Linked DNA regions of Callithrix jacchus. The protein of the gene in region 2 purifies or fractionates together with the protein of the main gene of each other region. This does not show direct contact. Links are inferred from orthologs where the notes say so. Each region holds a gene or a part of one and is shown on either strand. Other genes may lie near its edges.

Evidence for each region.
Region 1: the proteins of SMC1A (region 2) and NIPBL purify together in Homo sapiens (affinity purification with mass spectrometry; 3 studies listed by BioGRID and IntAct, with this or other methods). This does not show direct contact. The link is inferred for Callithrix jacchus from reciprocal best matches to the Homo sapiens genes SMC1A and NIPBL.

What each region holds. Positions count from the first base shown.
Region 1 is NC_133503.1:168,714,961-168,719,033, forward strand, and holds the start of NIPBL (nipped-B-like protein), read right to left. Parts: upstream 2,811-4,073; 5' UTR 2,401-2,810; intron 1-2,400. UniProt on the Homo sapiens protein: Plays an important role in the loading of the cohesin complex on to DNA. Forms a heterodimeric complex (also known as cohesin loading complex) with MAU2/SCC4 which mediates the loading of the cohesin complex onto chromatin.
Region 2 is NC_133524.1:53,761,656-53,765,300, forward strand, and holds part of SMC1A (structural maintenance of chromosomes protein 1A), read right to left. Parts: intron 2,867-3,645; coding exon 2,784-2,866; intron 2,631-2,783; coding exon 2,423-2,630; intron 1-2,422. UniProt on the Homo sapiens protein: Involved in chromosome cohesion during cell cycle and in DNA repair. Central component of cohesin complex. The cohesin complex is required for the cohesion of sister chromatids after DNA replication.

The sequences.
Region 1 (4,073 bases), on a different chromosome or scaffold from region 2:
GGAAACAAATTATTTTCTCCAACTAGGTTACTACTTTAAATTTTACAATATGAATTTTACACAATGTTTTCTCCTTTAAAAATGACGTATTTAATTGGCGTGAACCAAACAAAACATATTTTGAAATTTAAAGAAATTTGAATTGTAGATATAATGAAAGCTACCACACAACCTATATTACTTACAAATTACTTAATATGTAGAATTGGGAAAACAAATTGCGAAGAACTAATTCACGATAACTTAGTTCCAAAGTCTTAAGAAAAAATGAATCAGTCATATAAACCCAATATCTAACGCACTTATTCAAATATCTTCCTAAGACAACCTCTAAAAATAAGTTGCTTCAGTTCATGAAAACCAAGCAAGCAGAACTCCTCTTTTCATTATCTTTAGAAGAAATATGTTTATCCCTTGATATACATCTTAGTATTTTAATTAAATAAAAGTTGTAGAGATAATCACAGGAATATATGAGGGCCTTTGAAACATTTATATGAAGTCCTTATCACCCCCATCACCAAAAAAGCAAACCCTCTGCTTTCTTAAGATGTGTTCTCCCCGTCTGCATTCCCTCCCTGGCATGCCCCCCACTCGCACACCCCCCACCCGCAGTAGGCCTGAGGCCCCGTAGCAAACAGTGTCTAACAGGAGCAGGCAGCACAAAGACAGGAATGGGAGATTAGTGGGAGGGAGGGAGGCCGGGATTGGGGCTCAGCAGGAGCTTCAGGCTTTTTAAAATTCAAACTGCTCCCTGACCAATACAAATCACGGACACGCTACTGACTACTACACGGATTTATAGCATTAAAAACATGCCTAGTACGTGACAGCTATATTAACTTCATTCTTTTAAGCATTTATCCGTACATTTGCAGGAAGTGTGGAACAATTTATTGTAAGCAGGACGCTAAACTAAAAAATAACCTTCACAAAGTAACTCACTCTACAGTGACAATAATTTAATGACACAAAAAATTTGAACCAATGTAACATAAACTAGTAAAACAAGAGATTTCGCTGAGCAGTGCCACTTGATTTTAACCAGAGAAAGTTTTCCTTCAGCGAATATGAAACAAAGTATCAAAATAGTGTAACCCAGGTACATTTTCCTAGCAATTTGCCTGAGGAATTTTTAATTGATGTTTCCCCCTTATACCAACTTATATTACGAACGCCTCCATAAATAAGCTCGAAACACGTAACTTACTCATGAACTAGAACTTGTCAAGTTAGAACTGACATTTTTCTCCAGCATTTACAGATACATTTGACCTATTAAAATGACACCTCTCTCATTACACAGTCAAACATCATGGCACAAACAGCCAATGACAATCCTGGGACCTCAAGAAGAACTGCCCTGACATGAAAGGATGGCACCTTCTACAATTTTTCAACCTCCCAAAGATTTTAAGTGTAACTTAATTTTTTCTTCTTCCTTTTTTTTTTATTCTTAAAAGAAAATTGGTTTTACCCGTATCTCAGCACAATTCTGAGAACACTTAAAATTCTTTTTATGCTCCTACACCTTTTGGTCAGGAAGTACCTGAGTGTTTTATGTACAGTCGTTTAAAACTGCCCTTACATAACGCATACAAATAGAAAGTGGCAGAGTAAACCTGTCAAGTACTTTATACTCGTCTTTGAATAAAAAGTCCATGGGCAACAACACACTGTCAAACAAGATAAAAAGCTCTTGGAGGGGGAGATGTGCAGTGTCTACCATAGTATGGTTTTATGTATTAAATATTCATGCGTACGATTTAATTCTTCAAAAAAGAAAATGAGTCTTTATGAACTTTCCAACGTCCAAACAAGTTTTACAAAGAGAAAGAATTACCTCGGGATCCGTGTCTGAGTATTTACGTTTGTCTCACTAACTGAAACTACTTCCTCCCTTCATGGGGTCACAGGGGGAAGAAGGGGGGTTGTTTGTTTCACTGGGACGTTCCCCACTCCCGGACCGGGAAAGTTGTAAATATGGGGACGGTCAGGGCACATTTGCTGTTAGTTGTATTGTTTCCGCCTCCTCACTAGCTACAGCTCCTCTCCCGGGCGAGGCCTGTCACCGACCAGCAGTCGCTCCGCTCAGCCCGGAGCTCTCCTAATCCCCGAGCTCAAGTAGATTCCGCTGGCCCGCGGCCTGCACTCTCCGCCGGGCCTACGCCTCCCCGGCCGCCCGGCAGGAGCCCAGTCCCCGCCACCGGAGCCGGCCGGGAGAGGGTACAAAACCACCGCCACCCAAGGCGGCTGCCACCAGAGAGGAGCGAACTCTAGACTCGCCCGTGGAAGAGACCTGGGGCCGCTAAGGAAACGGCGGGGAGGGGAGCGAGGAGGAGAGACGCTGAGGACCTGGCGCCGCCGCCGCCGCCGCCGAAATAAAGAGCAGGAATTTACCTGGGCGAATCGGCGTCTGAATCCAAGGGGAGGCCGAGGCCGCTGTGGCGAGAGACTATAATCCGGGCCGGGAGTGGGGGTGGCTACGGCTCCTCTTCCGTCTCCTCAGTGCGGGGAACATGTAGAGCCGGGGGGAGACCAGCCGAGAAGACAAATCGTTGCTTCTTCTTCCTCCTCCTCCTCCTTCTCCCACATAGAAACACTCACAAACACCCGACCAGGGGCCCGAGCTACCGGGGGGGCATCGCCGCGGGCCCGGGAACCAATCCTCCTGTCGGCGGGGGCGTCCCTCCCTGCGGCTTGGTGGTGTCGGGTGAGTCGGTACCGACGGAGGGAGGGGGGGGAGGGTGGGGGGAAGGAGCCCTGTGTGTGTCTCTCTCTCGTTCCGTCTCTCCCTCTCAGAACAAAATGCCGACCGGAAGTGCAGCTGCAGGAATGACTCCCTCCGCCGGCGCCAAACACTAACAACCACCCCCTCTTCCCCACTCCACTTCCGCCACCGCCGCCGCCGCCGCCGCCGCCGCCACTGCCACTGCCACTTGGGCTCGCGTCCTCGGCAGTGCCGCGCCGGGGCCCAGCCGGGCGGCGGCGGCTCTCCTCTAAGCCCTTCTCCTCAGGGCGGCTGTGGATGTTGCCAGTATTGTCGATGCTTCAGAGCTACGTTTGCCCCGCGACACGGGCGGGTCGGCTCTTCTCGGTCTTTATTTTCCCGGAGGCCGATGGGAGCGAGGCCCGAGTTCGGCAGTGGTCGTGAGCGTGGGGGGCACTCAGGCACGGACGTGCTCGCAGGTCGCCGACGGCGGCGGCTGGAGGCCGCGCTGGCTGTCCCAGATCGTCGTTAGCTTAGGGAGCGGAGCTCTGGGCGGCCCCACAGAAGACGCTCGCCATTCGACGGCGATGGTGCCGGTTTTAAATGGTGTCCCTGCAGCCGGGTGGATGGATGGATCGTACGTACTCTTCTCCTTTTGAGGCCAGGATCTTACGCCCTTCTGCGTGTTAATTTCTGCGGAGTAAGAACGCAGCCCTTGGAGGTGAAGACGATTCTCGACTGGACTGAATTGGAATGGTGTTTGTGATACGTTTATTTCTGGAAATGCGCGGTGTCCGCTGCTCTTGATTTTTGTCGGCGGAGGTTTGGGTTCTTCGCTAACAGCAGGGATAAAGGCCTGTAGGCGACGCTGCGCTGGCGCGAAGCTGGGCTGCGGCGGCCCGACCCGGCGCCCGCCTCTAGGTGTGGGTGGAGCCGAGCACGCGGGGAGAACCACCGGCCCCTACTCGGCCACCGGCGACTGCGGGCGACCGGCGGGACTGCAGCCAGCTGATTTCAAACATCGTTTTCCTCTTTAGGTTTGGAACACTGAGGCGCTGGACAAGGCTGGAATACAAAATGTAATATACGTGCAGTACCGTGCCTGTTGTAGTTTTTAAATTGTAAAACAAGAAGTAACTCCGTCGTTCCACAGTTCTCTATTAAATTTGTGTAAATTAAAAGGGGGCTATTCTTCAGGTTAAAAAGTGCAGTAGGTAAGCGGATTTTTACTCAACCGGGACGAAATTCATGTTGTATGAATTGTATTATTTGTGTGTGTACCAGTGGGCTAAAAGTAATTAGGAAAACTTGCTTAGATCATTTCTTTTGCCTCAGGCCACTGAGGGGGCCAAGATCCCGTCAC
Region 2 (3,645 bases):
TGGCCTTGCCCTAAAAGACATATTCATGATATCATGGACTAACTATTAATTATGACTGAACGCAATTCTATTAACATGCCAGTATCTTTCTACCTTTTTTGTTTTTTTGTTTTGAGACAGTCTCACTCTTGCCCAGGCTGGAGTGCAGTGGCACAATCCCAGCTCACTGCAACCTCTGCCTCCTGGGTTCAAGCGATTCTCCTGCCTCAGACTCCCAAACAGCTGGGATTACAGGCGCCCGCCACCATGTCCAGCTAATATTTGTATTTTTAGTAGAGACAGGGGTTTGACCATGTTGGCAGGCTGGTCTCGAACTCCTGACCTCAGGTGATCTGCCCACCTTGGCCTCCCATAGTGCTTGGATTACAGGCATGAGCCACTGCTCCCTGCCTCTTTCTACATTACATGATTGTTCTGATGCAAGGGATCTGTGTTTGAAGACCAGAGTGGACTGTGGTATTATGAAATACATATTTAGTCTTCTACACCAGAGTTCCTGACACACAACTAAAACCCTTAGAATCTCGGAAATGAGCAGTGTCTTTTGCACATTAATGAGACGATTATGGCTGGAGGCCCATAGTCAGCTTCTAGATAGGGGCTGGTTACCAGAAAGACCAAGGCCTGATTAGATTTGGGACTCTTAGCTCCACCTCCACAACCTTCAGGAGGGGAGAGGGTCCTGAAGGTTGAACTGATCACTGTTGGCTGATAATTTGATCAATCATGACTACATAATGAAACACCTGTGTGAAGGTACCTGGAGGGTGGCTTGCCAGATTGGGCATTTGGAAGATTCACACCTCTTCTCTCATACCTTACCTTATGCATCCATCTGGCTGTTCTCTGTATCCTCTGTAATATCCTTCATAATAAATGGGTAAATGTAAGTAAAACATTTTCCTGAGCTCTGTGAGCTGCTCTAGTAAATTAATTGAACCCAGGCAGGGACTCTCAGGAACTGTAATTTATAGGTCAGTCAGAACCACAAGTCACAATGTGAGACTTGCAACTGGCATCTGAAATCTTGGACTGAGCCCCTAACCTGTGGGATCTGATGCTATCTCTAGATAAACAGTGTTAGAGTTGAACTGAATTATAGGTCACCCAGCTGGTGTCTGCTGGAGAATTGCTGGTGTGTGAGGAAAAACCCCCACACTTCTGGTGTCAGAAGTGAAGTGTTGTGCTGGTTGTGTGAGAGTAGAAAAAACACTTTGGTTTTTTTCCTGTCTCACAGAAGAAAACAGCTCCCATGCTATAAAGCAAAAGCCTATTCTGGCTCCCAAGCAATGACTTCAGGCAGTCGTGTCTGAATCCAAAATCATCTTTCTAAACCTCACATTTACCATTTTACACACTGCTGTCACCCAGGCACTATGCCAAATATCTTATATTTATTATTTCAAATTCTCTTAGGCCCTGAGCAAAATAAATCCGGCTGGGTGTGGCGGCTCACACCTGTAATCCTAGCACTTTGGGAGGTCAAGGCAGGCGGATCACTTGAGGTCAAGAGTTCAAAACCAGCCTGGCCAACATGGAGAAACCTCATCTCTACTAAAAATACAAAAAAATTATCTGGGCATGGTGGTGGGTACCTGTAATCCCAGCTACTTGGGAGGCTGAGGCAGGAGAATCACTTGAATCTGGGAGGTGGAGTATGCAGTGAGCCAAGACTACGCCACTGTACTCAGTCTAGGCAACAGAGTGAGACTCCATCTCAAAATAAATATCTTTTACCAGTTCCTTTCCTGCAGCCTCCAAAGCCAAGCCTGGTTCCCTAAGAACTATCACATAAGAGGGCAGAGACCGACTCTAATTCATACTTATCTCCCCAGCAGTGCCTAGAAGAGTTTTGTGGAACCCAACTAAATTGAACCCAAGTATGGCATAATATTCAGGGAACCTGGGAACTCAGGATTTGGTGAAAGAGGCCAAAAGATCAAGAGATCTGATAAAGCTCAGGGTGTCCCTAAAAGCTACTGGGCTGGTTAGTACATGCCAAGGGAGCCCATATAGAAGACCGCACACAGCTACCTCCTGGGAGAGTAATTCCAGCCCTGTGGCCCCATATGCTTCCAAAATCTTCCCTGGTTTTCCAATTCCTCTCCCAGAGGCATGGACACAGCAAAACAAACCCTTCAGAAAGATGCAATTGGTATGATGAAAAGAACATGAGTGCCTAGTATGACAGGCACTCATTTGAAAAATTAAAAAAAAAAAAATTAACATGAGCTTAGGAGAACATGTTGGGTCTGTACTACAGTTCTTTCATTTAGAAGTACTGCTTTTTTAAACCTCGCCAAGCCTCAATTCCCACAACAATAAAAATGGGACTGGCAACCCTGTCCTCAGAGGGCTGCTGGGAAAATCATGTGACAGTGAGTCTAAGCGCTCAGGAAATGAGTTCCCTCTCCGCTCTTACCACAGAGCCAGGGTAAAGGCGCTTGATGCTCTCCATTATCTCTGCCTTTCGCTGCTGGCGGCTGCTCTCCTGTCGGTCAATGCGAGCATCCCCTAGCTGCTCCATCACCTGGTTCAGTTCCTTATTGATTTCATCAATACGCCGCTTGGCCATCTCCACCTCCTCTGTCAGCTCCCCCTCTAGCTTCTTCTGCTCTTCTAGGGACTGCCTACAAAGTGAGGGCACATAGGAATTACTCCTGCTGGTGAGAAAACACTTCTGGCTCAGAGAGGCTCTGGAGGTCCTTTGTGAAGAGGGGCAGGACAGGCAGGGTCACAAGAACAGGCCTAGAAGTAAGGGGGACAGTTGCAGAGCTACATACTTGCTAGTGGTGATGTATTCTTCCAGTTTCTCAATCCGCTTCTGATTCTCTTCAATTTCCCGCAGCTTTTGCTTGATTTTGGCCTAGGAAACAAACATATCCCATCATCAGGGCTGCACAAGTTTATGCCAAGACCATGGGGACCCTGAGTAACACCCCTTATGTGACCACTCATCCAAGAGCCCAACAGTCCAGGACAATCTATCACTAATATAGGAGACCTACTAAAAAGTAGACATAGGAGCCAGGACCAGTGGCTCACTCCTGTAATCCCAGCACTTTGGGAGGCCAAGGTGGGCAGATCACGAGATCAGCCTGGCCAATATGGTAAAACCCTGTCTCTACTAAAAAAATACAAAAATTAGCCAGGTATGGCGGCACATGCCTATAGTCCCATCTCCTCAGGTTGAGGCAGGATAATCACTTGAACCCAGGAAGCAAAGGTTGTAGTCAGCTGAGATCAAGCCACTGCACTCCAGTCTGGGTGACAGAGCAAGACTCCATAATCAAAAAAAAAGCATAGAGGTTAACTGATGATGGGGGCCTCCCAGATCTCCAGAACCTCTCACAGGTGTTCTACCCAGCCCAGGCAACTTCCTCACCAACCATGGAGGCTCAAATCAAAATAAAGCTTCATAGGCCTGTCTGCACCTCCGTTTCCTTACCTGCAAAATATGGGTAATCTCCATTGCATAGAACATACATTAAGTGCTTAATATAGGGTCGCTATTAATATTAGTGACTACCACATTCTTTTAGAAAATTATTTTTTGGCTGGGCGCAGTGGCTCACACCTGTTAATCCCAGCACTTCAGGAGGCCAGAGCAGGCAGATCATGAGGTCAGGATTTTAAGACCAGCCT